Linked DNA regions of Arabidopsis thaliana. The protein of the gene in region 1 interacts with the protein of each later gene in a biochemical or structural test. Each region holds a gene or a part of one and is shown in the gene's direction. Other genes may lie near its edges. The genes, in order: NDPK2, SOS2, MPK3 and PHYA.

Region 1 (6,732 bases):
CTCGGATATAGAAGTCTTCCCGACACTCATTCTTTGTTCTCTGTAGATTCTTTGAATGAATTGGATCAACTTGAGCATACTGTTGGGGAAAAGTCAACCACCATGGATGCAGTAGTTCTCGTTCCAGATGGTAAGAAATGAAAGTTAAGGAAGGTTGGAGATGGTAATAGATGTTTATTTTCAGATCATGAGTTTACCTGTCATGCTTTGGTATTATAGAGGAGACTGCTCCACCTGAGAGGCAAATTTCCCCAGATTCCCCAGATAAGCGTTACCGCGCGGCTTTCTTGAAGAATCGTTTTGCTGATACCATTATGAAAGCTCGAGAGAAGGCTTTTACCAAGGTTGAATTTTTAAGTGTCCGATCTACTGTGTTGACGAAAAAGCTCGCCTGAACTTGTGGATTGTTTTAATCAAAAAATTTAATGCATCAAATTTCAGGGTGAAAAAGGGGATCCTGAAAAATTGAGGATAGAAAGAGAGGAGTTTGAAAAACGGCTACGGGAAGGTTGGATTGTAGTGCATTCGAGTGTGCTTATGTACCCATAATTCCTAACTAAATACTTTTATTTTTAATTCTTGCGATTTCCGTTTGATTAGAAAAAGAACGGTTACAAGCCGAGGCCAAAGCAGCTGAGGAGGCTCGGAGAAAAGCCAAAGCAGAAGCCGCAGAAAAAGCGAGGAGGGAAAGAGAGCAAGAGAGAGAAGCTGCACGTCAAGCTTTACAAAAGGTATAAAAGACTTTTCGAGTTTCTCTTCTATTATTCAGAGCCCTACCATGGTGTACAATCATGATAAATGACTTTCTGGTCTGTTGCAGATGGAAAAGACAGTGGAGATAAACGAGGGCATACGGTTTATGGAAGACCTCCAGATGCTTAGAGCTACAGGTACAGAAGGTGATCAATTACCGACTTCCATGGAAGTGATGAGTCCCAAGTTTAGTGAGGATATGTTGGGTTTGGGTAGTTTCAAGATGGAAAGCAACAGTAATCCATTAGAACATCTAGGTCTGTATATGAAAATGGATGAGGATGAGGATGAAGAAGAAGACCCGCCACACTTTAGCCAGAGAAAAGTAGAAGACAATCCCTTTGACAGAAGTGAAAAACAGGAACATAGTCCTCACAGAGTAGAAGGAGAGGATCAACTCGTTAGCGGAAATGAAGAGCCGGTGAGCCAAGAGGCACATGATAATGGGGACCAAGAAGATGGAAAACCCATAAACCCAAATGAAATAGAACGACAACTGGAGAATATGCCAGAGCAAGAAAGTGGAGTTGGTGACAAGGAAGAGCAAGAAACTGAAGTTGTCGATATGAGAAAGCAAGAAAATGAAGTTGTTGATATGGGAGTGGAAGAAGTACATCCCCTTGACCGAAGTGAAGGGCGTACACTCAGTCCTCACAGAAAAGAGAGAGAGGACCCACGTGCTAGCGGTAATGAAGAATCGGTAAGCGAAAAGGCACAAGATTATGAGAACCAAAGAGATGAAAAAATCAATCAAAGCGAGAGAGAAGAACAATTGGAGAATGTGCTAGAGCAAGAAAGTAGTAGAGATGATGATACAGGAGAGCAAGAAACTGAAGTTGTCGGAGTAGGAAAAGAACTTTCCCTTGACAAAAGTGAAGGACAAACACTTAGTCCTCACAGAGAAGAGGGAGAGAACCAACTCGATTGTGGAAACGAAGAACTGGTAAGCCAAAAGACACAAGATAATGGGAACCAAGAAGATGAAAAATCCATCAATAAAATTGAAGGAGAAGAACAATTGGCGAATGTGCCAGAGCAAGAAAGTAGAGTTACTGAAAAAGAAGAACAAGAAACTGGAGTTGTCGACTTGGGAGAGCAAAAAAGCGAAGTTGTCGAAAAGGGGGTAGAAGAAAATGAAGCTGTTGACAATGGTGAGGGAGTGCAAGGAACTGAAGTTTCGGACAAGGGAGGAAACGAAACTGTAGTTGATGGCAATGGAAAGGTAGAAACCGAAGTTGTGGACAAGGCAGGGCAAAAAACTGACCTTGTTGACCAGGGAGAGGAAGATATAGATGTAGAAATTGATTGATGAAGTCTTTTTTCCGGGTCTTGTTAAAAGCAACAAGATGAAAAGAAAAAGTTGGGGATGTTTACGCATTGATTCTTCTATGCACAAAATGTAAATTTGATGTGGCGTGAAATGGCTAAAGCAAGCAAAAGAAAGGCAAAGCCAGATACATCTAGAAGACAAGACGATGAGTCTGTATTGCCTATTTTTCAACGTGACTCTGTTGACAATGATTCTAAATCGACGAAAAAAGAAAAAGAAAAAAACAATTTTGCTACAAGAAAGATGGTTTGGTTTGGTATTAAAGCAGCAAATTGTGCGACTGTTGAAATGTGCAGACTTTTGTTTTTTTTAATCTTTTAGAAGAGTAAACTGTACAGGGAAAGAGAAAGAGTCTGTTTCCTCCATTTAAACGAGACACTCTTTGTACTCGAGATCACTTTTTAAATTACTTCTGAGCACTGATACTTTTTGATTGATCAACTAAACCCAAATTATCTTCGCTTCTGGATAAAGGGTATTTATGTCAATTAACTTTGTTCTTATAAGATGATGATGCGAAGACACTGAGAGAAGCTAAGACAAAGCGCAGAAAATGGTGGGAGCGACTGTAGTTAGTAAATGGACTCCCCTATGTGTGGCTTCGCCGCCGGAGAGAAACTCGGCAAGTCTCAATCCACACTGTTCTCCAGCCAGGGTTAATTTTAGAACAGCGTTGGCCGCATTTCGTCCTCAGTTCCGTCTTTTCTCTCGCAATTCCGCGTCTCGCCGCCGTCTTCGCGCTTCCAGCTCCGCCGAATCGGGAATCTTCCTTCCTCACCTTGTAGCTTCTATGGTTTGTGTGCTTCCCCTCCATTTATGCGAATTACTTTGTTTTCTTAGTACTTACATTGATTAAACTCCGAAATCAGGAATTTAGGATTCAAATTAGTTTGGATATATTCTAATTTGATGAATCTCAATGCAATTTAGTGACCTTTTGATTGTTCTTACGTTGTTTTCTGTATTGTTTCAGGAGGACGTTGAGGAGACTTACATTATGGTGAAACCTGATGGCATACAACGAGGCCTTGTAAGCGTTTTTGCTTTTCATTTTTTTTCTTCTTCTGATTTTGAGGTTAAATTATGTATCTTGGAACTCTATGGAGCTTTGAATGTTATTTCATTACACTATCTTGGCTTAAATTATGAATGTATGATTCATTTGATGTTCTTAGGTAGGAGAAATCATTTCTCGCTTTGAGAAAAAGGGGTTTAAACTTATTGGGCTCAAGATGTTTCAGTGCCCAAAAGAATTGGCTGAGGTTTGACACTCACTCATTACATCAGTAGTTTGATAACTTTAGATTGCTTCTTAATGTGATATAACTAATAAATCATTGACAAGTATCGAGAAATTGAAGCCTGATCATGACTTGCATATTTCACTTATTCGCTACATTTGCGTAAGATGACGCTGCCTCATTTTTTTTTCATATTCGATTGACATAATTAATATTCTTGTGTGTTTATCTCAATTGCCAGGAGCATTATAAGGATCTTAGTGCTAAATCATTCTTTCCTAACCTGATTGAGTACATCACTTCAGGTCCAGTTGTGTGTATGGTATGGGTATAACTATGCTCTAATTTGATTTTTACTTGTTTTCAAGTTGTAATTAGATGAGTTAATTGCATGTGATGTTTTAAACCTGGTAAAGGCTTGGGAAGGTGTTGGTGTTGTTGCTTCAGCCAGGAAGCTAATAGGGAAAACAGATCCGCTTCAAGCTGAACCTGGTACTATAAGAGGAGATCTTGCTGTGCAAACCGGAAGGTTGGACTTCTATCATCTTTAAAATTGTTGGAAGTAAGCACTTAAAATAATTCTCATGGTTTGATATTTTTAAATTATGCAATTTGCAGGAACATTGTGCATGGTAGTGACAGCCCTGAAAACGGCAAGCGTGAGATTGGTGAGATTTCTTGTTTTTTGTTCAAATCATTCACCCATCTTTCATTGTTGAGACATTGACTATGTCCAGTTTAGGGGCAAATCAACGTGGTTCAAACTGCTTCAAATTAACTTGATAACATAACTAGATTAGATCATACTTGATTACTGAAATTGTTAGGTTCAATATATCTGTTTTAAACCATTACTATCACTTCTTCATTTACTTAGTTTGACCAATCACTCTCATTCCTTAGTATGCTAAACTTTTAGTTTTCATTTGCTGACATTTTGGCTCTTGTGGTTGTGGCATAGGTCTGTGGTTCAAAGAGGGCGAGCTATGCAAGTGGGATTCGGCTCTAGCTACATGGCTAAGGGAGTGATCCTTGAGAAGACAGAGTCAATTATAATGGTGTCCTTACTTGTTTTCTTGTTACCGATGATGAGCTTTGGTGTTTTGTTCCTGATTTTGGGCGGCAATATAATATAACTGCCAATCTATGGCTTGATTCTTCTCATATCTGTGATCACTTGTCATGTAATCAAAACTAGTTACAGATTCATCTGCATTTGGTTCTACGTTACAGACACCTCCAAAATCATTCATCTTCACTCTACACCGAGCAATGAAAATTTTCTAATCTCAAGCTAAAAGAACATACAAAAGAGTGGCTTTACAAAACGCAGATGCTGCGTGATTAAGATTGCTCAGATCAGTGTACCGGAATATCATTCCGGTTTACTTCTAAGACCGGTTGGTATATGGAATCTCAATGTCCTCAGGAGGAAGTTCCCAGTGATCGTCTTGTTCGTCTTCTCTGGATGCATTTCTGTTGTGCTTGCGGATCTCTGAAGTTGATAGTGGTTTTGGTTTAGGGTTTGGTCTCCTGTAAAATCAAAATCTATTGACTCAACTTCTCCAAGTGTTTTTCGAAAGAAAGAAGAAAAAGTGAAAAAAAAATCTGACCTTTTCCGATACTTCTTCGCAGCTTCTTTGGTCTTCCGCGTCTTCTTCTCCAGAGAGCTCTCGAAGAAGCGTCGTCTTCGAGATTCCTGCAACACACCCGCTCTGAAACACGACCTCTTGAAATCGTTAACCAGCTGCTCCTCCGATTCGCCGTCTTTAGGCACCACCTCGACGTTGTAGTAACTGGACTTGAAGAATACGAGATTCGCGTTCGCCAGCGAAGGATACGCCACTCGATTGATGACGTCATCGTGCTCGGCCGTTAAAATCTTCGTCGTCATCGACAAATGCTGTGACGTTCTCGCGGATACGGAAGACGGAAGCGTGATAGGTTTCAGACTCGACGGAGACGGTGGTTTCGACGAGAGAAGGGAAGAGAGAAGCTCCGAGAGAGAGACTATCGATTCTAGCGCCATTTTTTTTTCCGTCTGAATAAGTGAATAATCGTTTCATTCTTATTATAATATTTTTCAATTGTAATTAGTGTGTTAATTAGATGGTCAAGTCTTTAGTGAGTCTACTTTCTGACTAAAACGACGACGTTGAAGCATATAAAACGAGACCAGTGAACTTTGATCTTTGAAAGCTTTCTCTCTTCGTCTCTCTGGCTCTCTTTCTTTTTCTCTCGTTTTATTTGGTAATTATGCTGAAAACAACGATTTCTCCAATTTTCTCATCGTTTACAGGTAAACCCAAGTGCTCATCGAAGTTGTTTTTTCGAGCTTTTAGTAAGGTTGTTCTACAAGATACTCCACCAAGTGCTCGACGAAATGCGTCAACCAATCTTACTACGTTACACAAAGGTCCACCAACCTCAGCCTACGTTCATCTTCCGTTTTGTCGCAAACGCTGTCATTATTGTGACTTTCCTATCTTAGCTCTAGGCATGTCTTCTTCTTCAGCCAGACCGTCTAATGTCTACGAGGAAGGAAAAGAAGATGACCCGAGAATCACGAACTATGTGAATTTGCTTGTTAGAGAGATAAAAGCGACAAGGACGGATTTTGATACGAACCCGAATCTAGAAACGGTGTTTTTCGGTGGTGGGACGCCTTCTCTTGTTCCTCCGAAGCTTGTTTCTTTGATTCTGGAAACATTGAGTTTGAATTTCGGGCTGAGTCCAGATGCTGAGATATCAATGGAGATGGATCCAGGCACGTTTGATGGTCAGAAGCTGAAGGATTTGATGAAATTGGGAGTTAACAGAGTGTCTTTAGGAGTTCAAGCTTTTCAAGATGAGCTTTTGAAAGCTTGTGGAAGAGCTCATGGTGTCTCTCAAGTGTATGAAGCAATAGAGTTTGTTAAAGAATGTGGAGTTGAGAATTGGAGTATGGATCTTATTTCTTCTCTGCCTCACCAGACTTTGGAGATGTGGGAAGAGAGTTTGAGATTAGCTATCGAATCACAGCCCAATCATGTTTCTGTATATGATCTGCAAGTCGAACAAGGCACAAAGTTTGGAAATTTGTAAGTGTACGTAGTTCAAGTTTGCTTACTGATGCTTAAGAACTTGAATGTAATCTGAACAGAAACGAATTGGGTTCATGAACTTGTGTAGGTACACTCCAGGACAGTCCCCTCTTCCTTCAGAAACACAGTCTGCAGAGTTTTATAAAACAGCATCATCGATGCTCCGTGGTGCAGGTTATGAACATTATGAAGTCAGCAGTTACTCGAGAGACGGTTTCAAGTGCAAACACAACTTGATATACTGGAAGAACAAGCCATTCTATGCTTTCGGTTTAGGTTCAGCGAGTTATGTTGGAGGGTTGAGGTTTTCAAGGCCAAGGAGGCT
Region 2 (8,765 bases), about 12 Mb from region 1:
ATGAATTATTTAATGTATTATAATAACTAAATTTATATACATCTTGCTTCCATATATTGTCATCATTTCTCATATTTATTACAATTCATTTTCTTTCAATATTTTGTTTTTAATATAAAAAGCGTAAATTTTAAAAATATCATTTAATGAGATACTTATTGTGATTAAATATTGATTGTAATTATCTATGAAGCACTAATAAATTTAGAGAGACTAATAATAAATTATTTATTTTCGTTTATAAATTTAATAAAATAGAAATTTATATTTTGATAATGTTTATATTATTTGGTGACAAAACATTTAGAAACTTTTCCATATTTTAAAATATTTTTTTTATTTTCATATATTGGTTTTTTTCTATTTTACAAAAAATTTAAAAAATAGAAAAAGAATAATTTAATAAATGTTAATTAGCGAGATGGCTAATCTCGATTGGTTGTTTAAAATCTATGTGGATGCTCTAAGAAGCAAATAATCTCGACTTTTTTAAGAGTATAGACTAGGTTATTAACCCCCGCTATGCGAGGTTTGTTGTTATCGATTGTCTTAATATATGTTTTTTGTTTAGTAATCATTTTAGTAGCTAATTAGCTATACATTGACATATGATTAGGAGTGTCAAAATGGGTAAGTCAACTCAACTCAACTTATAATCAAATGAGTTTAGGGTAACAAAATGAGTTGGGTCAACCCATAACTCATTTAATTTGATGGGTTGAGTTGTTAAATGGGTTAACCCATTTAAGTAATAATTTAATTAATTATTATTACAAAACATAATAAATAATTATCATTATTAATTCATTATCATCAAACTTAGGATATTTACGTATTACACTTTTTATGGATTTACGTTTTTGACGATAAAATCATGGATTTACGTTTTTTGCGGGAAAATTACGGATTTACGTTTCTGGCGGGAAAATTACGGGTTTAAGTTTTTGGCAGGAAAATCTCGGGTATACGTTTTTGGCGGGAAAATCACGGATTTACGTTTTTGGCGAGAAAATCACGGATTTACGTTTTTGGCGGGAAAATCACGGGTTTACGTTTTTGGCGGGAAAATCACGGGTTTTCGTTTTTTGGCGAGAAAATTACGAGTTTACGTTTTTGGCGGGAAAATCACGGGATTTACATTTTTGGCGGGAAAATTACGGGTTTACGTTTTTGGCGGGGAAATTATGGATTTACGTTTTTGGCGGGAAAATCTCGGGTTTACGTTTTTGGTGGGAAAATTACGGGTTTACGTTTTTGGCGAGAAAATTATGGATTTACGTTTTTGGCGGGAAAATCTCGGGTTTACGTTTTTGGCGGGAAAATCTCGGGTTTACGTTTTTGGCGGGAAAATCTCGTGTTTACGTTTTTGGCGGGAAAATCTCGGGTTTACGTTTTTTGCGAGAAAATCACGGGTTTACTTTTTTTTGCGGGAAAATCACGGATTTATGTTTTTTGGTGGAAAAATTACGAGTTTACTTTTTCTCAATTTCATTGCTTGTATATTTAAGAAATTTGGAAAAATATTAATTTTATTAAATTGGTTTAGATGTGTTGGTTAAACCTAAATTGGCATTGGTTTAGAGATTTTAGTTGGTTTTATTCAATTTTACAAAATTTGATGGGTTAATTGGATAAACCATGGAAACCATTAACCATTACAACCTAACTCATTTTACTCATCAAACCAATTGACTCATCAACTCATTTGACTCATCAACTCATTTGAGTCAAAAATTTCAACTCATTAGGGTTCATGGGTTGAGTTGAGTTGAGTTGACCCATGAATTTTGACCCATTTTGACACCCCTACATATGATCATAAGTTAATAATCAAAAATTACTATTGATAACTTTTTAACGGAATTGTTTTGTAAGTTTCATTTACGTTATTTATATAAAAAAACATAATGCAAAAGTACTAATGTATAGTTATTTTTATTTTTAATAATGCAAAAATATTACTGTAATACTTTTTCATTCTTATCAATATTTTTTCTTATATTCAATTAGCCACCAACACCTACATTTCATATTTCTCTTCACATTCATTATTTTCTTGCTCTTGTATTCCTTCTTATCATCTTCATTGCCAATTTTTCATTGACATTGTCATCGTTACTTTGTATGTATGATTTTTGAACATTTAATGTGAATCCCAACCGACTATAGGACTATCAAGAAGTTTTCAAACTTTTTAAAAAAGATCTTGAACCTTTAAAGCAAATCCCAACCGACTATAGAACCATAGTCCTCTTCCTTGTTGATGAAGCTCTTCTCGTGCCGGCGAAAATCTAGGCCATAAAAGCCTCTTCAACATCACCTAGTATATTGACCGTGACCATCTTTTTGACCATTGCTTTGTGAATGAACCGTCGATAAACCGTGTTATCACTTACGCCAAATTTTTCCCTAGTGTTTGTTTCCAAACTCTCACGAATCCTTATCGAACTTTTTTATATATCACTTTGTAGCATTGGAAAGTATCTTTGTATGCTTTGTCTTAAACTTAGACATCCTTGTTCTCTTGGTTTTTTTGAACCTTGCTTGACTTAAATGAAGTTAAAAATTTGTAGTTAAAAATAGAAAATTTTACTAATTTGAGTTCGATTAATCATAGTCTAGATAATTTGAAAAAAATTAAAATAAATTTTGAAAATACTATATGTTTATTTTTTAAAAATAATTTACTAAATTGATAAGTGATATTAGATTAGTTTTTTTTTTCTTTTTTAAATTTTGAAAACCTCACAATTATTAAATTGAAAGATTCAAAATGCAATGTTAGTTTTTAAAAGTTTAATCACCCAAACGGATAATTGACCCGAACGACTAATTCAGGTCGTATACGGGTACAGTCAAATAACCCGACCCGAAATGCTCAACGGATCTGCACGGACGTTCGCATCGACGATTCACGGCTTTCGCGAATCGCATCACGAGCCTTCCTTCTCTCCTACGCCTCTTTCATCAACCCTTCTCTGCGAATCCAATTCTGGTATTTCACGATTCTCTTTCGACTACGCCCAATCGCAATTCCAGCCGTACGAATTTTATATATTGATTATGATCTTGATCCTTACCTTTTCGTCGTTTCCTTGATCGAATTTATGTTGATTTATGCTGCGAAATCAAAATTATGGATACAGAGTAATTTTGTATATATGGATGTGTAGGAGCTAAAATTAGCAAACAATACGTAAAGTAATTGAAATCGAAATCATAAACGTTTAAGGAAAGAGGTTTTTACTAAGTCTCTGAATAATCTGATTGATAGCTTGTGGTCAATGGATCAGATAAAAGTTTGTAAAGAATGACAAAGAAAATGAGAAGAGTGGGCAAGTACGAGGTTGGTCGCACAATAGGTGAAGGAACCTTTGCTAAGGTTAAGTTTGCGAGGAACACAGACACTGGTGATAATGTAGCCATCAAAATTATGGCTAAGAGTACAATACTTAAGAACAGAATGGTTGATCAGGTATGTTCTGGATTGTTTTTTACATGGAAACTAAGGTTGTTGCGTCAATGGTATGATCTTTGATTTCGTTTAAAGCTCTTTTACAGATAAAAAGAGAGATATCTATAATGAAGATTGTTCGTCACCCGAACATAGTGAGGTTGTATGAGGTATGTTTGTTTGTTTCCATGCATCTGCGAAATTTTATCTCTGAAGTGTTTTTGCATCATTGTTCTTCTGTTGTTTTTTTGTGATTTTCCCGATGTAGGTGTTGGCGAGTCCTTCGAAAATATATATAGTTTTGGAGTTTGTGACAGGAGGAGAGCTCTTTGATAGAATTGTACGGAACTTCCATACTTGTAGGCAGCGTCCATTAGTTAAAACCTCTCTACTTAATTTTTTAATATATGAAATCTTTCATGCAGGTTCATAAAGGGAGGCTTGAAGAAAGTGAGTCTCGGAAATACTTTCAACAGCTTGTAGATGCTGTTGCTCATTGTCACTGCAAGGGTGTTTACCACCGTGACCTAAAGGTAAAGACGTGTTTTTGTTTACCAATATTCCTCAGAATATCTCACTGCGTTGCAATCCAGACTTGATATTTTTGTGTCGCTATGTTATGTTATCTAGCCAGAAAATCTTTTACTCGATACAAATGGAAATCTGAAGGTTTCGGATTTCGGACTCAGTGCATTGCCTCAGGAAGTAAGTGCTCTTATCTCTGCTTCAGCAGTCTGCTTACGTGGTCATTAACTTGTTATATACTCAATCAGGGAGTAGAACTTCTGCGTACCACATGTGGAACTCCGAACTATGTAGCTCCAGAGGTACTTAGTGGACAGGGTTACGATGGTTCAGCAGCTGATATTTGGTCTTGCGGGGTTATTCTTTTCGTTATATTGGCTGGATATTTACCTTTTTCCGAGACGGATCTTCCAGGGTTGTACAGAAAAGTAAGTAACATATCTTTCGGGAAGAAATCATGAATTCCTTGTCATGGCTTTTGTCAAACCGTTTATTGATTTGGTTTTGCAATTTCACCCTTAGTTTTGAGCTTTTACACATTGTTATTTACAGATAAATGCAGCAGAGTTTTCTTGTCCACCGTGGTTTTCCGCAGAAGTGAAGTTTTTAATACATAGGATACTTGACCCCAATCCCAAAACAGTGAGTATTTTGCTTTGTTCTCTCCTAGCTATCAGGTTTTGGTGATATTTAATGTTCTAGTAATTATATCTGTTTATCTATTATTGTTTCTCAATTAGAGCAGCGTATTCAAATTCAAGGAATCAAGAAAGATCCTTGGTTCAGATTAAATTATGTGCCTATACGAGCAAGGGAAGAAGAAGAAGTGAATTTGGATGATATTCGTGCAGTTTTTGATGGAATTGAGGTTTGTGCTTCGCCTTCATTATATGCTCTTTGCTGGTCAATTCCATTTAAATGTTAAGATCTCTTAGGAACGTTTGGATGACCAAGAAGAAGTGTTTGCTACAGGATAGAACAAAATAGTAGGCATGTGTTAGTTACCAAACCTGTAAACTGCTTCTTTATTCAATTCGCCAAACCATAGACCTTAGGAAGACTTAGATTTACAAGAGAATTCTCTATTCTCGACCAAAAACCCTAGACAAAATCCAGAATACCCCTAGGGCTAATTACAATGTTCATGTACCTATCAATATATATCTCCTGCTAAGATTGTCTTAGCTTTGGTATAGCCTAGATATATATAGATACCGTAATTTCTAATGCATATTTAGAATGTTTTACTTAAACTCAGGCTCTTGCTCTTCTAAAACTTGTACTTCAATTGTTAAACTAAAACCTCAGTATCTGTCTTAGCTAAAGTTACTTTTACTTGTTTTTCATTAAGTTGACCTGTCAATTGCACTTGTTCACAGGGCAGTTATGTAGCGGAGAATGTAGAGAGAAATGATGAAGGGCCCCTGATGATGAATGCCTTTGAGATGATTACCTTATCACAAGGCTTAAATTTATCTGCACTATTTGACAGGCGACAGGTAGTACCTGATTTTCTATTACTGGTCATAGAGATCTCCATTTCGAATAAAAGAATGTCGGTAGCATCTATTCTTCAGACTGCCCGTTTTGACTGCCTTATGATGCTGTGTTCTTAGTTTGTTATAATAACTATAAGTTCATTAGATGATTGGTTGCATGGCATTAGTAGATACAAATGGAATCCAAAATGTTCCTGCATATTGATGGCTGATCCTTTGATCTCGCAGGATTTTGTTAAAAGGCAAACCCGTTTTGTTTCTCGAAGGGAACCTAGTGAGATAATTGCTAACATTGAGGCTGTAGCGAACTCAATGGGTTTTAAGTCTCATACACGAAACTTCAAGGTAACGAATTCCTAGCATATTACACTTATCACAGAGATTATGCATTATTTTAAAACTCTCAACTGTTAAACGCATGTGTAGATAGATTGATAAGATTGACAAGGAAACTTAGTTTATATCTCTGGCGTTCAAAAACGAAAGTCCTAGTGTGAATTATCATTTTTAATGTTAGCAGAGAGTACAATTGTTATGATTTGTTACGTCTATGTGCTCAACAGACAAGGCTCGAGGGATTATCTTCGATCAAGGCCGGACAGTTAGCTGTTGTGATAGAGGTAATTATTGCTTGTTGTGATTGTAATATAAGTTTGCTTTGCTTCAGTTTAAGGGTATCTAGCAAATTGAAATTAACCTACATGCAGATTTACGAGGTGGCACCATCGCTTTTCATGGTAGACGTAAGAAAGGCTGCTGGTGAAACTCTTGAATATCACAAGGTTTATAAATATATATCCAATAACAATAGTTGCATCATTACTGTGTTGCGGATTAGAGTGATATTTTGTTTTGTGGTATCGCAGTTCTACAAGAAGCTATGTTCGAAACTGGAAAACATAATATGGAGGGCAACAGAAGGAATACCAAAGTCAGAGATTCTCAGAACAATCACGTTTTGATCCCAACTTAAATCCAATAAAAATGTACACTTGTGTAATAAATGACCTAATTATTCTTCAGGGAGATTGGAAGATTTGCTTCTTGAGCTAGTATTCTAATTTGATTGTGTCTTGTAGTTTGCTTTGGCCATTGGTTTGGATCCCTCTGTTCTCTGTGTATGGCAATACTTCTCAAAACTTGTCCTGCGAAGACATGTACTAACAAAACACATCCAATATGAGTTTGCTTACTAGACTACATGAGCTTTATGCCTTTATTTAGTCAAGACTATACGAGTTTAAGCTAGGCAGAGCATTTGGTTTGGATTCTTTCGATAGGGTTTTGTCGGGTTTTTTTTTGGGATTAGAGAAATTCTACCCAAATTAATTAAACTAAATTATGGTTCTTTTTGGTTATATTTTACTATATAAACCTTGATTTTTAAAGTCGCTAACTCATATGATCATGATACATGTAATATCATTTCATAACACAAACATCAATTCATACATAACACAAGTCTCAATCTAATACTCAAATTAATATCGTTATTTTTGTTGGTGTCGAATCTCGAACTATGTGTTCGGATCCATCCGAAGCTTGCCACCTAAAAGTCAACAAGACAACGGTCAACGGGACATGCTCTCGACCGAAGCCCATAGTTGAAGCCGAGCGAACCGAAGAGTTTGTACAACGGAGCGAAAAGGAGATGAGTTTGAGAATGGGTAACGGGCCGAGCATTCGGAGGCCCATGAAGGGTTCAAAGGAATTCAAATGAAGACGTTACAACATTGATTAGAGAATCAAAGCGAACACTTTTAAGAGCGCTTAGTACATTAATTAACAAATTAATGTAAATTATAAATATGAGTCCCTTAAAGCATAAGGGGGTACATTGATTTCTTTCTAAATATCTAATATTATACTATTTTATCTTCATATCTTTGCATGCATTTTGATAATATATACAAAGTACAGTATATACACTTGTATTATTTTTTTAAAAACTAGATGAACATACATGCATGGGTTTTTGTTTTTAAAATTGTTGGAAAAAATTTTGGTTATGGTTTTTTGTTGATTTTGATATTCATTTTTTTTTTTCCTTCTAAAACCTTTATTAGTGACGAGTGTCATAATCATTGTTTACAAGAGACATCAAAAATACAGGACAAGAATGATACAAAAGACCAGAGATTTGGACCTAAAATAGCTTTTTTCGCTAATAGATCGGCACAGGCATTTTGTTCACGATGGGTGAAACAGAATTTCGAGTTTATGAAACCACTTCTCCAATGTTGTATTGTCCCCATGTAGTGTTTGAGTCGAAGATGAGCACCGTACGTATTAATAACTTGGTTGATGGTTTTATTATCCCCTTCGAATATTACGTTTCGGTATCCTAATCCCCACGCAGCCTGTATTGCCCAGATAAGTGATGTACATTCAGCTTCTTCTATCGTATTTCGTCCTTCAAATTGTCCCATACCACAGTCCAACACAAAGCCATTGGAATCACGAATTATCCAACCAAGTCCTGAGGCTCCAGCTCCTTCATGATGCGACGCATCATAATTACATTTCACCCATCCCCTAGGTGGTGGTAGCCAGTTATCTCTTCTTGTTCTCTGTGTGTGAGGAGCCGGAATTGTGTTCACTTGTTTAATGACATTCTCAATCCACTCCTGAGTGTCCGTTGTTGCCAGTTCGAGCGTCTCCCGTGCCGGAATAAGCTTTTTGTTGAATATTAGATCATTACGGCATTTCCATAATCTCCACATAATCCAAAAAGGGAGGTACCTGTGTAATTCATCGACATTCCTATCGTCGTGAATCCTAAAGAGGTACCTTAATTTGTCTTCCAGGGGTGTTTGCGAGTTACATGGTATGGTGGTGTCTAGGCAAGTGGTCCTCCATACCGCTTCCGCATGCGGACAGGAAAAAAAGATGTGATTCCCTGTTTCAGCTTCCGTGCAACAGTGTGCACGGTATGGATTGATGATGATGTTCCGTCGCCTTAGGTTATCGGCAACCCCGAGAGCAAGCGAAGCTGTCCTCCACAAGAAATGCTTCAATTTGGGGACAATGTTTAGTTTCCATAAACGGTCGGCAATATCAGGGTGTGAAGATAGCGGCAGAGTGATAGGTGGCTCACTTGTGCTCTTTGTTGCTGCTACCCAATATCCTGATTTGACAGTGTAGCAGCAATCCTTTGTAAAGCTCCACACATATGAGTCATGTGCTGGTATAAGGGGTACATATATTTTCCGGATAATTGGATGGTCAATCGGATCGATTAGTGCGGTGAGTTTCTGTTCATCTCATTGAGATGTAGTCGGACAGAG
Region 3 (7,144 bases), on another chromosome or scaffold:
AATCGGAATCAGTAAACACGTTGATCTCAATAACTACTCCGGAACTAAAATCGAAACACCAGAATTAGGGTTTTGAGATTCGGCGATTCAAATCCCAACATGAAAGAGTCAATTACGAGAGAAGTGAAAACATACGGCTGAGTAGAGAGATTCGATCGGAGATTGTGGAAGATGAAGAAGATTGAGAGAAGTGGGAGATTGCAAGAGACAACAAGTGAGAGAGATTGGATGGCTGAGATTTTGGCCGCTTCTAGATCCACGATTGCCTAATAAGAAGAATTAACTATGCCCTTAGATTATTAGTTTATTACGGATCTGCCACTATCTCCGGTTCGATTATTTTTGGTTGGCGTCGGTTAAAGACTGATTTAATTTGGTGGTGGTTTTATTTCAACCCAATGATTATATTTTAATTTTTGTTCTTCTACATATCCGATATTTTCAGAAATCATGTGGAAATAAATCTAAAAATTTAGAAATTTAGTTACAAGTTTTATAAAACTAATCGTCTAATACAATGAAATTTCATCAAAATAATTATTTTTCTATAAATTATGATGATCTAAGTACCGGATTAAGAACAAATTACAAATAAGAATACTGTACACAACAAAACTCAAACATGTGACTTCAGAAAATATTTTACTCGTAAATTAAAACATAAACATACACGAATACTATCCTTCATATATATCTTTGTATCTAAGAGTAACTCAATGTTCAAAATAAAATACAGCTAAAAAAAGTAATAAGCAAAAGAATATGGGATAAACTATTTTAAGCTGAAAAAGTAACAAAGTGATAGAACACACTCATGCATCATTAGTTTATGTAACAAAGAAGAACTCATTTTAAGTTGTTGCAATGGAGACTTGCTTCAAAACCTTTGAACAGTCCACAAGTTTCAAGCTTTTAAACGTTCTACAGATGAACAATGGAATAAACGACTAGGCCATTCTTTTCAAAAGAGTGTTCATAAGGGAAATATCATCCACATGCATTTGGAAGCTCTTTATAAGCTTTCGATTTTGCCCGTACCTAATGATTTTCGTTTGTCCATCTAGGAAGTACTCGATTTAAAGTTTAGAACTAATTTAAACAATCATTGTTTTGATAAGGTTAAGTATTTGAAATCACTTTTAGATGACTTTGGAATAGTTTTAGAAGGTTATAATCCAGTGAAGTTTAACGATGCATCGTTATTCCTTAACATAAATAGAACTCTAACTTAAATAAATTTCATAACAAAATCAATATTTTTAACGATAATGTTGGAACATAAATTATATAGCGCATACGATTATTTAGAGGAATTTGTAAACTAAATATTAATATCTTGTTCGAACTCGAAAATAGCTTACTTTTTTTTCTTCATAAGTGTTGGCTTTGATATATAACAACAAAGTGTTACAATAGTGGAAAACTCCACTTACAGAATTCGATAGGCTAATGAGCATTACGATATTAAATTATCAAACACATATAGATAATCTCCTTTAATTTTCATCTACTCAGAATTGAACATTTTCATAATCTGCAAGTTCTGCTTTATCTTGTCTGCTTTCATTGGAAATGAAATGGTATATGTTGGTCGGTAAAAGACGAATCAAATTTGTAAACTAACAATGAACTATTGAAAGAGTAAATCTTACAGAAATCTCAAAAGAAAATAAGATACTAAAAAGGGAGAAACTGAATCTCTCACTTAATCCCCATTCGGGGAACCTTTACACTTAACACGCGATCTGATGGAGCCATGAGTGCAATCCAATCAATCCAAAACTTCTGCAAGGCCCTCTTACACAGATATCCTAACGAAAAGTAACCACAAAGATCCGCTTCTCAACTCCAAAACCAATTTGCGCAAATAGAGATTTTGCCTATTTTGCTATCTCTTTCTTCTTAAAACAAAGCCTTCTTAAAACAAAAGTCCAACAACAAAAGTCAAACCGAGCCCAATATAGTAACCCATCGAGGAAGGGATAAGAAAGCCATACAACACAGAGACATGTGTCGCCTCATGAGGAAATCACAGACACGTGACGAGAAGAACGTGTTTGTCGAGAATGCCAACCACTGCCGGCATGTTTTCTGAGATCGAAGAACGCCTACCCACCGAAAGTTCGTTCACTCCGCAAAACCAGAAGCTTCAAGTAGAGCACTGAAGACCCTCTAAAGAAATTGCACATCTAGTCTTCCTCTTCCAAACGAAATTAAACTCAGATTTAACAAACGAACGAAACTTTCTTTCATATGAAGGAAAGCGTCCACCATTCCAAAGTAGCATGAAGCATCACAATGACGTAAGCAACCAAAAAGATTTTCCGGTGAGACTTAACGTCGCCATGCCCATCAAGTGAAACTACTACAAAATTTGAACGACAAGGCTTATGAAGCCGAAACTCTTAAACTTCCACTTTTTCTTCGTAATGAAGAAACTTAATAAGTTTATTAGAAATAAAGACAAATAAAGGCAAAATACCAAAGAACGGCGACGATAAAACCGGATTTACCGGTAACTATAACTAGAACTCACCGTACGGTATTGAAACAAAAAGTTGGACCATGTCCGAACACAACCTCACAAACATACGGGAAGGCATACGAAACAAAGAATTTTTTCTTTTTCTCAAAATTTTAGAGAAAGAAGAGAATAAAAAAATTCTGATCGAAAATAGCTTACTTAAAAATCATAATTGAATAGTATCTTTTGTTTTTAAACTAATTTAGTCTATATAATAATAATATTATTAACCATCGTAAACCACACATGATATTCAATACTTATAATAAATTAATCGCATAAAATACAATACTTAAAACGAGTGTTATATAATTTTACGTAACGTAAAACAATACAAAATTTTAATTCCTGAACGAATAAAACGAGTATATTAATTAATTTATTGATCGTATTAAAACGAATATGATCCAATTAAGATTACAATTACTAAAATCCCCACACTATTATTGTCATTATTTAACTATGGCAGATAGATAGATACAGAACCGTAAAGGACGTTAGGAAGAGGAAGAACGTTGACGAAGTCAACAACGAACAGAAACCGTCGATTTGAGGCGGCTCTAATCTCAACCACACGATCTTCTCTGCCTTTCCCTCTTCTCTCTTCTTCTTCTTCTTCATCTTCTTCCTCGCAATTACCGCGAAAACTCATCTCTGCTCAATCCTCAATCTCAGTCTCTCTGTTGACTCCGACTGTTATATAAAACCATACAAATACCTTCAGATTCACTACTTCAAACCTCAAAGCAACCACTGAATCTCGACTTTGATCAATTGAGAGAGAAATGAACACCGGCGGTGGCCAATACACGGATTTTCCGGCGGTGGAAACTCACGGAGGACAGTTCATAAGTTACGATATCTTCGGTAGTTTATTCGAGATCACATCTAAGTATCGTCCTCCGATTATACCAATTGGTCGTGGAGCTTATGGAATCGTTTGGTATGTTTCCTTCTCTGAGCTTTTTCTTAAGTTTTATTCTTTGAGATCGGAGTTTTTAATTTCTGGATTTTGATTTTGTGAAGCTCTGTGTTGGATACGGAGACGAACGAGCTAGTAGCGATGAAGAAGATAGCTAATGCTTTTGATAATCATATGGATGCTAAGCGTACGCTTCGTGAGATCAAGCTTCTTCGTCATCTTGATCATGAAAACGTTAGTGTTTTTGTTCGATTTTGTGAAATATCTGTAGAAATTAGTAAATAAATCATGATTAGGGTTTTTTGATTTGGTATTGCAACAGATTATAGCTATAAGAGATGTTGTTCCACCACCACTAAGAAGACAGTTCAGTGATGTTTATATCTCTACTGAATTAATGGATACTGATCTTCATCAAATCATCAGATCTAACCAGAGTTTATCAGAAGAACACTGTCAGGTAAACTAAAAACTGTTCTTGGCTTTTTTCTGGGATTTATATTTGATAGAAGAGACATGAAACTGATACTTGATTTGGTGTTTTTGTTGTCATGGAAACAGTACTTCTTGTACCAGCTACTTCGAGGACTGAAGTATATCCACTCAGCTAACATTATTCATAGGGATTTAAAGCCGAGCAATCTTCTGTTGAACGCGAATTGCGATTTAAAGATTTGTGATTTCGGTCTTGCTAGACCTACTTCAGAGAATGATTTTATGACTGAGTATGTTGTTACGAGATGGTATAGAGCACCTGAGCTTCTGTTGAACTCTTCAGATTACACAGCTGCTATTGATGTTTGGTCTGTTGGTTGTATCTTTATGGAGCTTATGAATAGAAAGCCTTTGTTCCCTGGTAAAGACCATGTTCATCAAATGCGCTTATTGACAGAGGTAAAATATTTTAGAGAGTTATGTAATTTTAGCATGGTTTAAAGATTCTGCCTTTTCACGGAATATGTGATGAATTTGTTTGAATCTTGCAGTTGCTTGGCACACCGACAGAATCTGATCTCGGTTTTACTCACAATGAGGATGCGAAAAGATACATCCGGCAACTTCCCAACTTCCCACGTCAGCCCTTAGCTAAACTTTTCTCTCATGTTAACCCAATGGCCATTGATCTTGTTGACAGAATGTTGACGTTTGACCCCAACAGAAGAATCACTGGTAAGTTTCATACATGTTCTCTGTTGGTTTTTCTTACCATCACTATGTTTTGATTAAAAACTGAAAATACCATCTTGTGCAGTTGAACAAGCTCTGAATCACCAGTACCTTGCTAAATTGCACGACCCGAATGATGAGCCAATCTGTCAAAAGCCATTCTCTTTTGAGTTCGAACAACAGCCTCTGGATGAGGAACAGATAAAAGAGATGATCTACCAAGAAGCCATAGCACTCAATCCAACATACGGTTAGAAGTGCAGCAGCCCCGTGAATGCCTGGTATTACCCAATAACCATCCGAATGGCTACTTAGTATCTTTGCCTGTTCTTTTATTCATGTACTTCTTCCACATATGTAATCTTGTAACTTTTATTTGTTTGTTCATGTTATTTACTGCTAGTGATTAAGTGTAGCTCCAATGTAAAGTACTCCAGTTATTAAAGAATATCTATAGACTTTTTTACTTCACATACTCTTGAGTCTTCCCTAGTAAACAAAGAGAAGAGAGAATATAATTTTGTAATGTACAGAGCCTCAATATTTGTGGGAGACATTATAGAGCTAGAGCCAGAGTCAATGCTGTCGCCGTGAGTTGTCTATTCTCATTCAATGACTTTCAATAGATTTTAGTGGGATTGGCTTTAGGTAGCTTGCATTATTGAAGTAGAAATGGTCAATTCCTTAGCAATAATTAGGCACAAATGTGTCTTTCTTTAGTAATATTGTAATATCCTTTGTCTGACAATTTAGAGTTGACTTCTAAAACGTTGGGTTGGAAATAATGTTGTCTTCACACAGGCTGTTACGAAGCAGACAGTGATGGCTCAACTTGCATCAACGGAAACCTTTGAGTTTTTGTTTTACTTTCTTAATGTTTCTTTATTTGAAGCTGCTGCGCATGGAGAATAAAATATCGTGGACCCGAGAAAGTCATCATTGCTGTATTATTACTTATACTGTATATATGTTTCAGAATTTCAGGCCATTGTTGACAAAAATAGTGAAAGATTTCTGCTTGATTTTGAGACATGGCTAGTTCAGTTACTGGCGATGCAGAAACAGCGATATCAGCAGATTCAAGCACCAAACGCCGTGGTGGAGGTTGGATTACCTTTCCGTTTATGATAGGTGAGAGATTCTGTTTCTCTGTTTTTATATTTCTCATAACTTCATAACCATTAGAGCTTGGAAGAAGAAGTTGAATTTATCTTATCTTTCTATGGTGCAGCTACGTTGTTAGGCTTGACAATAGCTGCGTGGGGTTGGTTACTTAACTTGATCGTCTACCTGATCGAGGAATTCAACGTGAAGAGCATTGCAGCGGCTCAGATTGCTAATATTGTTAGTGGTTGTATCTGTATGGTTCCAGCTGTTGCAGCCATTGCATCTGACTCTTTCTTTGGAACCATTCCTGTTATCTCAGTTTCAGCTTTCATTTCTCTTATGGTAAAGTTAATAAAGAGTCCTTGACATTTGTTTTTATCAGTTTCTCTCTGAAACAGAAATTCACTAATTCTACTCTTGACCAGGGTGTAGCTCTACTGACTCTAACTGCTTCACTTGACACTTTAAGACCTAGACCCTGCGAAACAGCTTCAATACTATGCCAGTCTCCTTCGAAAACCCAGCTCGGAGTCCTTTACACGGCCATAACTCTAGCCTCTATAGGAACAGGTGGGACACGGTTCACATTAGCAACTGCTGGTGCGAACCAGTATGAAAAAACTAAAGACCAAGGAAGCTTTTTCAACTGGTTTTTCTTCACAACATATCTAGCCGGAGCTATAAGTGCAACCGCCATTGTCTACACCGAAGACAATATCAGCTGGACCCTTGGGTTTGGTCTGTCTGTAGCCGCTAATTTCTTCAGTTTTTTGGTTTTCGTCTCGGGGAAAAGATTCTACAAGCATGACAAGCCTTTGGGAAGTCCCTTCACAAGTCTACTATGCGTCATTTTCGCAGCATTACGCAAAAGAAAAGCTGTGGTTTCCACCAACGAAAAAGACTACCACAATGAATCAATCACAATGCCCACAAAGAGTTTCAGGTAGAAAAACCGGCTCGAAAACCGCAGTTTCATTCTTGCACTGAGAGGCCGTTCTAATGAGTTTTCAAATACGCAGGTTCTTTAACCGTGCAGCATTGAAACAGGAAGACGAGGTAAAACCAGATGGCACAATTCGCAATCCATGGAGACTATGCAGCGTTCAACAAGTGGAAGATTTCAAAGCAGTCATAAGAATCATCCCTCTCGCCTTAGCCACAATATTCTTGAGCACTCCAATCGCAATGCAACTAAGCTTAACAGTTCTTCAAGGTCTGGTGATGGACCGGAGGCTTGGTCCTAGCTTCAAAATCCCTGCAGGCTCTCTCCAAGTCATAACACTTCTCTCCACTTGCCTATTTATCATAGTCAACGATAGGGTTCTCTATCCATTTTACCAAAAGTTAACGGGAAAGCACCTCACACCGCTCCAACGAGTTGGGATAGGCCATGCGTTCAACATTCTAAGCATGGCTGTGACTGC
Region 4 (9,382 bases), on another chromosome or scaffold:
GTACCAATCTTTTTACTTTTCGATAGATAAAAAGCAAATGGCTTCGTGCTTGTCCTCTTTTTTCTTTTCTTCGATTTTCCTAATCGTGTAATCTTATGATATTAATAACAGAAGAATCATAATTAAGCGCGTTATATTATTCCATCTCTTTCTCCGATTCTCATATCTTTTAATCGTTTGATCTGTGAACCTAACTTTTATTCAATTTCGCTTTCACCAAATCCAGAGCTAAGATCTTCAGATTCGTGGGTCAAATAATGTGGTCAATGGGTTTGATAAGGCGTACGGCAATGTCCAATGCCATTAGAGCTTCTTCGCAAAGGACATGGCTTGGTCACGGTGGATTAAGAAGCTGCGTCACCGTCAAAACACCGTCGGAGGATGAAGAGGAGAAGAAGAAAGAGATAACTATAGCGGAAGCGAAGAAGCTAATGAGGCTTGTGAATGTTGAAGACATGAAGAAGAAGCTTGTTGGTGTGGCTGATAGAGATGTTGTCTCTTACTCTACACTTTTAGAAGCTTCTCAAGGAATGGGTATCGCTAGATCTCCCGATGAAGCTCATGTCTTTGCTCGTGTTCTTGACGATGCTGGCGTTGTCTTGATCTTTCGTGATAAAGTCTATCTTCACCCAGACAAGGTCTTAATTAGAACACAAAAACAGAACTTTACTCTGTTTTGTCTCACTTTACTCTGTTTTGTCTCGATTTCTCTAAAAATCTGGACTTTTTTGTTTTGTTCAGGTGGTGGATCTGATTAGAAGAGCGATGCCTTTGGACCAGAATCCAGAGGAAGATCAAATCAAGGAAGAATTCAACAAATTGAGAATCATGAAAGAAGAGATTGATGTTTTGGCTCATAGACAAGTGAGGAAGATTCTTTGGTGTGGTTTAGCTACTTCGATGGTTCAAATTGGACTCTTTTTTAGATTAACTTTCTGGGAATTCTCATGGGATGTGATGGAACCAATCACTTTCTTCGCTACAGCGACTGGAATCATTGTGGGTTATGCTTATTTCTTGATGACTTCGAGAGATCCGACATATCAGGATTTCATGAAGAGGCTCTTCTTGTCGAGACAGAGGAAGTTGTTGAAGAGTCATAAGTTTGACTGCGAGAGGTTTAAGGAATTGGAGAGGTTATTTAAAATGACGTCGTCTTGTCATGCAGCTGCGTCTATAAGGAATCGTGTTGGATTAGAACTTGATCTCGAGGATGCTTTGCAGAGTCGCAGGGACTGATTATTATGAAAAACTTTCTTCATGTCCTCCGGTGGTTCATCAAACTGAAGAAGAAGATGATCAGTCCTTGCAAAAGAGTGACAAAGATTGTTTTCCGTCATCTTCTTCTACTTCTTATACATAAGTAACCATTGACATTGTTTATTACAGTGACGATAACAGATTTTAAATGTTCTTTTTAATACGGAAGTTTTGGTGTAAAGAACCATTTTCTTTATTTTCGTATATAGATTATTGGCCTTGTTTCACACAAATACACACATTAAAAACCGAGAAAACACATGGTAATGAACAGTTGTTTTGAGAGTTCAATATCAAAAGAGTGAAAATGAAATAGCTCTCAAAGGGCGCCTTAAAGTTCCAAACCATCACATCCCTAGTGATTGAAGCGTTCTTGGCCGGCCATTAAGAAGTCTCCTAAGCTCATATTTGTTTTGTTCTTCAAAGTGTTATTCCTGAAATGGGATTAGTACCTTTTGCCAATTCAGATATGTGCAACATGGGCCATGACTATGTCTAATGGATGATACTGTGTTGCTAGGACAACATTTGCATTATGGAGGCACATTTTTGGTCCAACATAGCTGTGCCACAATATCTATGCTGAATTGCGCTGTCTAGATAAGACGTTGTCGATTCGATCTTCTCCGGAGATTTACTGCAAAAAACTTAGGGGGAGATTTAACTTTAAGAGGATAGAAGCAAAATACCTAAGAAAACATGGTAACGTGGATTTGCGATAAGAACGAATCGAAGTTTGACAATGATGTTAAAACGATATGGATTTTGTTTGACGAAAAAAAAATAAAACCTTAATAACGATTTTTTTACCCTTTTTATATAAAAAATAAAACAAATTTAAATTCTTCGAATAAACTTAAATTAGTTTTACAAATTTTATTACTTTCTTTCAACGATAAAAAAAAATACAAAAAAGGAAAGTCCCAACTTTGAAGTAAATCCCAGAAACAGATTACAAAACGCAAAAAGCCGAGAAAACGTGAAGCCCATAAGACTATCGTTGTCGTCTTCCTCAAAACCCAACTTTCTACTTCTGGTTACTGCCTTCATTAAACAACTACCACCATCTTTCTTTCTCTCTCTCTTTCTCGTTTTTTTATTTTATTAATAATCTTTTTTTTTTTTTTTACTTTTGATCTCTTATCCTTTGGACGATTCTCTTCAATCGGATTTATAAGAATCAACCCCATTTTGTTCTTCTTCCACTTTACTTCTTTTTTCCTCATTACACAGTCTTAGTCACATCGGTGAAAATATCAATTAATATTCCCCAGAAAGTTGCCAAGATTTACAAGTAGTAGTACTTGATATATCTTAAGCCCACTGTTCTGTTTTAGCGAGGAAAATGTTACCGGCGAAGCCGACCCTGTTCTTGATATGTGTGTGAAGTTTGTCTTTTATCCAAATTAAGCTTTTTTCTTCTTTTATTTTATTCCATTATAAAATATACAAATCGCCCATACTCCGAGACATGGGCATACGTATTCGGGGTGGTCCCATTCATCGTCGTCGTCTGTGTTAGGGAGCACAAATAATAGAGAGGCGTAGCACAAGAGAGAAGGTGGTGATCGAGGCCAAGATTTAGAATTTAACTATAACAAAAAGCCTCTGACGAGTGTGACTAGTCACAAGATCTGATCATGGCTTCTTGAAACTTCTTCTTCTTCTTTCTTCTCTTTAAAGGTACCTACTTTCCTTTTCCCAAAGTTTCCTCCTTTTTTTTCTTTTTTTAACTATATATATTGAAGCTTGCTTCGATTGATTTCTGCTGGGAGCTTACCAGCTAGCTACTGGTCTCACTCTTCTTACTGAAATTGATTCTAACTTTGAAGTTAATTTCTTAAAGCTATCCTCTGTTGTCATCAATACCCTCTTGTTTTCTGCGATATAAAGGTTTTGTAGGTCTCTTTCGATCTGGCTTGATGTGTGTTTGTTTTACTCAACTTTTTATAGTGTGTGATCATTTATGAGAAGAAGCATCCAATTAATTAATCTCATCCTTTTATCGCTTTTAACTCCTACGATTGCTTTCCCTGTGGGGACTTTATTGTTCCTTTTGAAAGGTATAGCTAGCTATAAAGACTCTTAAGAGTTTATTATTGAGTCTACTTTATGTATGTAGCTGTGTTTGAATCTTGAGAGGCTGATATTAGCTCAGATCCTCGTTTTGTTAGTATTTGTGTAGTGGATTTACCCTGTTAACTATCAACTATTATTTGTGCGACTTGTTCATAGTCAAGATGTTGTTGATTTTGGATTGTAGGATGACTTAGAAAGGAAGTGTTCATGGAATCTGACTGGTTCAGTTACTTTGAAAATGATAAATCATTGAACCTTGGAATATGACACGATGATTCCTGCATCTGTTGCGTCCTGTTTCTGGGTTTAGCTATGTATTCTCGATGGAGTTAGTCAAGTTCATAACTCTTTTTACTGTGTGTTTGAAATTCTGAATTGGTTCTTAGTGTTTCAAGTTTATGCTTATGCATTCGCTTGTATGACTGGTGATGAATGTTTTTGTGTTCATATGATTATGGCATGAATGTTTTATTCCCTCTTTTATCAGAGTTTTGCACTTATTTTTTGTTGTCTTGTCTCTGTGTCAGGAAAAAAATGTCAGGCTCTAGGCCGACTCAGTCCTCTGAGGGCTCAAGGCGATCAAGGCACAGCGCTAGGATCATTGCGCAGACCACTGTAGATGCGAAACTCCATGCTGATTTTGAGGAGTCAGGCAGCTCCTTTGATTACTCAACCTCAGTGCGTGTCACTGGCCCGGTTGTGGAGAATCAGCCACCAAGGTCTGACAAAGTTACCACGACTTATCTTCATCATATACAGAAGGGAAAGCTGATTCAGCCCTTCGGTTGTTTACTTGCCTTGGATGAGAAGACCTTCAAAGTTATTGCATACAGCGAGAATGCATCTGAGCTGTTGACAATGGCCAGTCATGCAGTTCCTAGTGTTGGCGAACACCCTGTTCTAGGCATTGGGACAGATATAAGGAGTCTTTTCACTGCTCCTAGTGCGTCTGCATTGCAGAAAGCCCTTGGATTTGGAGATGTCTCTCTTTTGAATCCCATTCTTGTGCACTGCAGGACTTCTGCAAAGCCCTTTTATGCGATTATCCACAGGGTTACAGGGAGCATCATCATCGACTTTGAACCCGTGAAGCCTTATGAAGTCCCCATGACAGCTGCTGGTGCCTTACAATCATACAAGCTCGCTGCCAAAGCAATCACTAGGCTGCAATCTTTACCCAGCGGGAGTATGGAAAGGCTTTGTGATACAATGGTTCAAGAGGTTTTTGAACTCACGGGGTATGACAGGGTGATGGCTTATAAGTTTCATGAAGATGATCACGGTGAGGTTGTCTCCGAGGTTACAAAACCTGGGCTGGAGCCTTATCTTGGGCTGCATTATCCTGCCACCGACATCCCTCAAGCAGCCCGTTTTCTGTTTATGAAGAACAAGGTCCGGATGATAGTTGATTGCAATGCAAAACATGCTAGGGTGCTTCAAGATGAAAAGCTTTCCTTTGACCTTACCTTGTGTGGCTCCACCCTTAGAGCACCGCACAGCTGCCATTTGCAGTACATGGCCAACATGGATTCAATTGCATCTCTGGTTATGGCGGTTGTAGTTAACGAGGAAGATGGAGAAGGGGATGCTCCTGATGCTACTACACAGCCTCAAAAGAGAAAGAGACTATGGGGTTTAGTGGTTTGTCACAATACGACTCCGAGGTTTGTTCCATTTCCTCTCAGGTATGCCTGTGAGTTTCTAGCTCAAGTGTTTGCCATACACGTCAATAAGGAGGTGGAACTCGATAACCAGATGGTGGAGAAGAACATTTTGCGCACGCAGACACTCTTGTGCGATATGCTGATGCGTGATGCTCCACTGGGTATTGTGTCGCAAAGCCCCAACATAATGGACCTTGTGAAATGTGATGGAGCAGCTCTCTTGTATAAAGACAAGATATGGAAACTGGGAACAACTCCAAGTGAGTTCCACCTGCAGGAGATAGCTTCATGGTTGTGTGAATACCACATGGATTCAACGGGTTTGAGCACTGATAGTTTGCATGACGCCGGGTTTCCTAGGGCTCTATCTCTCGGGGATTCGGTATGTGGGATGGCAGCTGTGAGGATATCATCGAAAGACATGATTTTCTGGTTCCGTTCTCATACCGCTGGTGAAGTGAGATGGGGAGGTGCGAAGCATGATCCAGATGATAGGGATGATGCAAGGAGAATGCACCCAAGGTCATCGTTCAAGGCTTTCCTTGAAGTGGTCAAGACAAGGAGTTTACCTTGGAAGGACTATGAGATGGATGCCATACACTCCTTGCAACTTATTTTGAGGAATGCTTTCAAGGATAGTGAAACTACTGATGTGAATACAAAGGTCATTTACTCGAAGCTAAATGATCTCAAAATTGATGGTATACAAGAACTAGAAGCTGTGACCAGTGAGATGGTTCGTTTAATTGAGACTGCTACGGTGCCAATATTGGCGGTTGATTCTGATGGACTGGTTAATGGTTGGAACACGAAAATTGCTGAGCTGACTGGTCTTTCGGTTGATGAAGCAATCGGGAAGCATTTCCTCACACTTGTTGAAGATTCTTCAGTGGAAATCGTTAAAAGGATGCTAGAGAACGCATTAGAAGGTAAACTCTCTTCCTAAGTTATGCTGAGTTTGCTAAGAATCTTCCAACTAGATTTCACTATTCAAGTTCCAATTGAGTATCGTGGTCGAAGAAACTTGATGCAATGTGTTGTTTTTGGTTCTTAATGATGGAATTTTGTTTTCCAATTTTATCAAACACTGAAGCCGAGTCTATAACTTCACTTGCTTATCTATGCAGGAACTGAGGAGCAGAATGTCCAGTTTGAGATCAAGACACATCTGTCCAGGGCTGATGCTGGGCCAATAAGTTTAGTTGTAAATGCATGCGCAAGTAGAGATCTCCATGAAAACGTGGTTGGGGTGTGTTTTGTAGCCCATGATCTTACTGGCCAGAAGACTGTGATGGACAAGTTTACGCGGATTGAAGGTGATTACAAGGCAATCATCCAAAATCCAAACCCGCTGATCCCGCCAATATTTGGTACCGATGAGTTTGGATGGTGCACAGAGTGGAATCCAGCAATGTCAAAGTTAACCGGTTTGAAGCGAGAGGAAGTGATTGACAAAATGCTCTTAGGAGAAGTATTTGGGACGCAGAAGTCATGTTGTCGTCTAAAGAATCAAGAAGCCTTTGTAAACCTTGGGATTGTGCTGAACAATGCTGTGACCAGTCAAGATCCAGAGAAAGTATCGTTTGCTTTCTTTACAAGAGGTGGCAAGTATGTGGAGTGTCTGTTGTGTGTGAGTAAGAAACTGGACAGGGAAGGTGTAGTGACAGGTGTCTTCTGTTTCCTGCAACTTGCCAGCCATGAGCTGCAGCAAGCGCTCCATGTTCAACGTTTAGCTGAGCGAACCGCAGTGAAGAGACTAAAGGCTCTAGCATACATAAAAAGACAGATCAGGAATCCGCTATCTGGGATCATGTTTACAAGGAAAATGATAGAGGGTACTGAATTAGGACCAGAGCAAAGACGGATTTTGCAAACTAGCGCGTTATGTCAGAAGCAACTAAGCAAGATCCTCGATGATTCGGATCTTGAAAGCATCATTGAAGGGTATGCTAGAATGAAAGTCCATTTAAAATATGGTTTATCTGTGTTCTTATGTTGGAATTTGACTGTGCAGATGCTTGGATTTGGAAATGAAAGAATTCACCTTAAATGAAGTGTTGACTGCTTCCACAAGTCAAGTAATGATGAAGAGTAACGGAAAGAGTGTTCGGATAACAAATGAGACCGGAGAAGAAGTAATGTCTGACACTTTGTATGGAGACAGTATTAGGCTTCAACAAGTCTTGGCAGATTTCATGCTGATGGCTGTAAACTTTACACCATCCGGAGGTCAGCTAACTGTTTCAGCTTCCCTGAGGAAGGATCAGCTCGGGCGTTCTGTGCATCTTGCTAATCTAGAGATCAGGTAAAATAGATATATTCATAATCAGAATGCATAATATGATGTTAAAAACAGTGCATTGAGGATATTGGGATTATGAAAACAGGTTAACGCATACCGGAGCTGGGATACCTGAGTTTTTACTAAACCAAATGTTTGGGACTGAGGAAGATGTGTCAGAAGAAGGATTGAGCTTAATGGTTAGCCGGAAACTGGTGAAGCTGATGAATGGAGATGTTCAGTACTTGAGACAAGCTGGGAAATCAAGTTTCATTATCACTGCGGAACTCGCTGCAGCAAACAAGTAGTCCCCAAAAGAAAAGGGGTCTGGCTTGATATAAAATAGTCACTGGTTGTTCTTTGCTTGTAACTTTCCTTATCGCTTTTGTTTTCGTTTTCAAATTTCAGTAACGATGAAATATCCATCCATTTACATCTTCTGTTGAACTCTTTTCTGAAGCTGTAAATATGGATGCATATCTAATCTCCTCCTGAGTGTTTTGGTTTCATGATGTATCATTCAAAATAAGTAATATAGGAGAAATGAGCTAATGTTTACGGTCCATGGTTTATCATAATGGCAGAAACTCAAACAAATATTCTATCTAGTTTCATATAATCTCCTTCTTTTAAGGTATTAGAGGTAATGCATGATTCGTGACTATGTTGCAAGAAGTCTTGGTTTCAAACAATTAGCTTTGGCTCAACTCCATGAAGAAGCAAACATAGTTCTTCGAACTTAACAGAGATCTATTAGCTGGCCATATGAAGTACACTTAGTTTTCTGTTAGAAGAAGCACATGGTGTGTGAAGTAAAAAATAAGTTATCATGTTAATTAAGTAATCAGTTTTATTAGACCCATACGTTAAGAGTCTCTCAAGTTGATTATTTTATCTGAAAAGTCAGATAAATTAGCTTACCTGTTTTGAAAGCTTTTAGATTAGATCAACCTCGACTTCTTACCTGTCTTTAGTCAACTTTGAACAAAAAATAATATGGATTATACAAGAAGACGAATACATGAGACTATGGAGCTCAAATGCACACTGAAGATCATCAGTTATTGTTCCTTTTTTATTACAGAAGACAAATCAAAGAAGATAAAAAGATCTTCCCTTTAGAAAAAAACAGAACTGTAGTAATGAATATAAAGGAAGGGTGATGATCATTTCTTGGGTTGGAACTTGGATTTGATGTGTTTAACAGTTCCTGGAGAAGTCTGAAAGGCTTGAGCCAAGATGTTGTCAGGAACAGGAGGAGTAGAACCAAACAAAGTAGCACCAAGAGATTGAGTTCCAGGAAGCTGACTATTGAAAGCTGCAATAACAGAAGCAGGGACATCACCATTGTTCTTCTGGAAATGGACAAGTCCTTTGGGGAAAGCAAAGACATCTCCTTTCTTGAGAGATTGAGAGATTAGCTTATTGGCAGTAGTGAGAAACCCAACGTCAAGTGTTCCTTCGAGGACGAAAACGACCTCAGTGGCACGTGGGTGGGTGTGAGGTGGGTTTAAGCCTCCTGGTGCGTAGTCGATACGAGAGAGGGAGACACCAAGTGTGTTGAGTCCTGGGATTGTCATAACGTTAGCTCCTGTGACTAAGGCACCGAATGTGTTGTTGGTAAGACCTGGTTTAGCTAATCCTTGTGAGAAGAAATCGGCTGATGTGACTGTAGCTGCGTCTTTGCAAGGGAAGCCATTGATTTTGATTCCTGCAAAAAAGAAAAACAAGAAAGAGATTAGAAATTGAATCTTTTTCTAGGAAAAGAGATGAAAGTAAAGGTTTTTGCAAGTACCAGAGGGAAGATCAGCGACGCAGAGATCTTGAAGCATGTCAGGATCTGCGGAGGAGGAGATGAAGAAGGAGACGGTGGTGAGGAGGAGGAGGAGAGTAAGAGTTGGTGAAGCCATTGGGATTGTGGTAGTGGTGGTGGTGGGACTCTCTCTAAACAAGTAGTTGTTGAGAGAGAAGAGAATTAATGAATTATGGTTTATAAAGGGAGGAGAATTGAAGAATTGAAGAGAGGGTGACTTTTCTCGTTGAGGGAAAAAGCAAGCAACATGCTGTTTTTCTTTCTTGCACACATCTGTCTAAGTGA

The links.
Region 2: the proteins of NDPK2 (region 1) and SOS2 form a complex in vitro, tested with the Arabidopsis thaliana proteins (one study listed by BioGRID).
Region 3: the proteins of NDPK2 (region 1) and MPK3 form a complex in vitro, tested with the Arabidopsis thaliana proteins (one study listed by BioGRID).
Region 4: the proteins of NDPK2 (region 1) and PHYA form a complex in vitro, tested with the Arabidopsis thaliana proteins (2 studies listed by BioGRID).

The regions. Positions count from the first base shown.
Region 1 is NC_003076.8:25,369,743-25,376,474, reverse strand, and holds NDPK2 (nucleoside diphosphate kinase 2), read left to right. Parts: upstream 1-2,570; 5' UTR 2,571-2,636; coding exon 2,637-2,876; intron 2,877-3,056; coding exon 3,057-3,113; intron 3,114-3,258; coding exon 3,259-3,345; intron 3,346-3,565; coding exon 3,566-3,646; intron 3,647-3,740; coding exon 3,741-3,853; intron 3,854-3,942; coding exon 3,943-3,992; intron 3,993-4,285; coding exon 4,286-4,353; 3' UTR 4,354-4,571; downstream 4,572-6,732. Other genes in the region: NPX1 (nuclear protein X1), read left to right, coding at 47-130, 220-344, 442-508, 601-731, 821-2,062; AT5G63300 (Ribosomal protein S21 family protein), read right to left, coding at 4,700-5,353; AT5G63290 (Radical SAM superfamily protein), read left to right, coding at 5,581-6,404, 6,496-6,732. UniProt on the Arabidopsis thaliana protein: Major role in the synthesis of nucleoside triphosphates other than ATP. The ATP gamma phosphate is transferred to the NDP beta phosphate via a ping-pong mechanism, using a phosphorylated active-site intermediate. May activate MPK3 and MPK6.
Region 2 is NC_003076.8:13,631,623-13,640,387, forward strand, and holds SOS2 (Protein kinase superfamily protein), read left to right. Parts: upstream 1-2,776; 5' UTR 2,777-2,995; intron 2,996-3,293; 5' UTR 3,294-3,310; coding exon 3,311-3,475; intron 3,476-3,561; coding exon 3,562-3,624; intron 3,625-3,722; coding exon 3,723-3,794; intron 3,795-3,879; coding exon 3,880-3,987; intron 3,988-4,084; coding exon 4,085-4,159; intron 4,160-4,227; coding exon 4,228-4,407; intron 4,408-4,531; coding exon 4,532-4,621; intron 4,622-4,724; coding exon 4,725-4,847; intron 4,848-5,358; coding exon 5,359-5,478; intron 5,479-5,706; coding exon 5,707-5,823; coding exon of another isoform or gene 5,824-5,838; exon of another isoform or gene 5,839-6,041; coding exon 6,042-6,098; intron 6,099-6,185; coding exon 6,186-6,260; intron 6,261-6,344; coding exon 6,345-6,440; 3' UTR 6,441-6,753; downstream 6,754-8,765. UniProt on the Arabidopsis thaliana protein: Involved in the regulatory pathway for the control of intracellular Na(+) and K(+) homeostasis and salt tolerance.
Region 3 is NC_003074.8:16,753,609-16,760,752, forward strand, and holds MPK3 (mitogen-activated protein kinase 3), read left to right. Parts: upstream 1-2,962; 5' UTR 2,963-2,984; coding exon of another isoform or gene 2,985-3,176; 5' UTR 3,177-3,309; coding exon 3,310-3,467; intron 3,468-3,550; coding exon 3,551-3,680; intron 3,681-3,768; coding exon 3,769-3,906; intron 3,907-4,007; coding exon 4,008-4,340; intron 4,341-4,432; coding exon 4,433-4,616; intron 4,617-4,698; coding exon 4,699-4,868; 3' UTR 4,869-5,266; downstream 5,267-7,144. Other genes in the region: AT3G45645 (uncharacterized protein), read right to left, coding at 2,985-3,176; NAXT1 (nitrate excretion transporter1), read left to right, coding at 5,645-5,744, 5,845-6,062, 6,146-6,663, 6,740-7,144. UniProt on the Arabidopsis thaliana protein: Involved in oxidative stress-mediated signaling cascade (such as ozone). Involved in the innate immune MAP kinase signaling cascade (MEKK1, MKK4/MKK5 and MPK3/MPK6) downstream of bacterial flagellin receptor FLS2.
Region 4 is NC_003070.9:3,093,708-3,103,089, reverse strand, and holds PHYA (phytochrome A), read left to right. Parts: upstream 1-3,259; 5' UTR 3,260-3,662; coding exon 3,663-3,667; intron 3,668-3,866; coding exon 3,867-5,932; intron 5,933-6,130; coding exon 6,131-6,947; intron 6,948-7,017; coding exon 7,018-7,308; intron 7,309-7,390; coding exon 7,391-7,592; 3' UTR 7,593-7,887; downstream 7,888-9,382. Other genes in the region: AT1G09575 (calcium uniporter-like protein (DUF607)), read left to right, coding at 258-638, 742-1,239; GLP5 (germin-like protein 5), read right to left, coding at 8,451-8,995, 9,080-9,194. UniProt on the Arabidopsis thaliana protein: Regulatory photoreceptor which exists in two forms that are reversibly interconvertible by light: the Pr form that absorbs maximally in the red region of the spectrum and the Pfr form that absorbs maximally in the far-red region.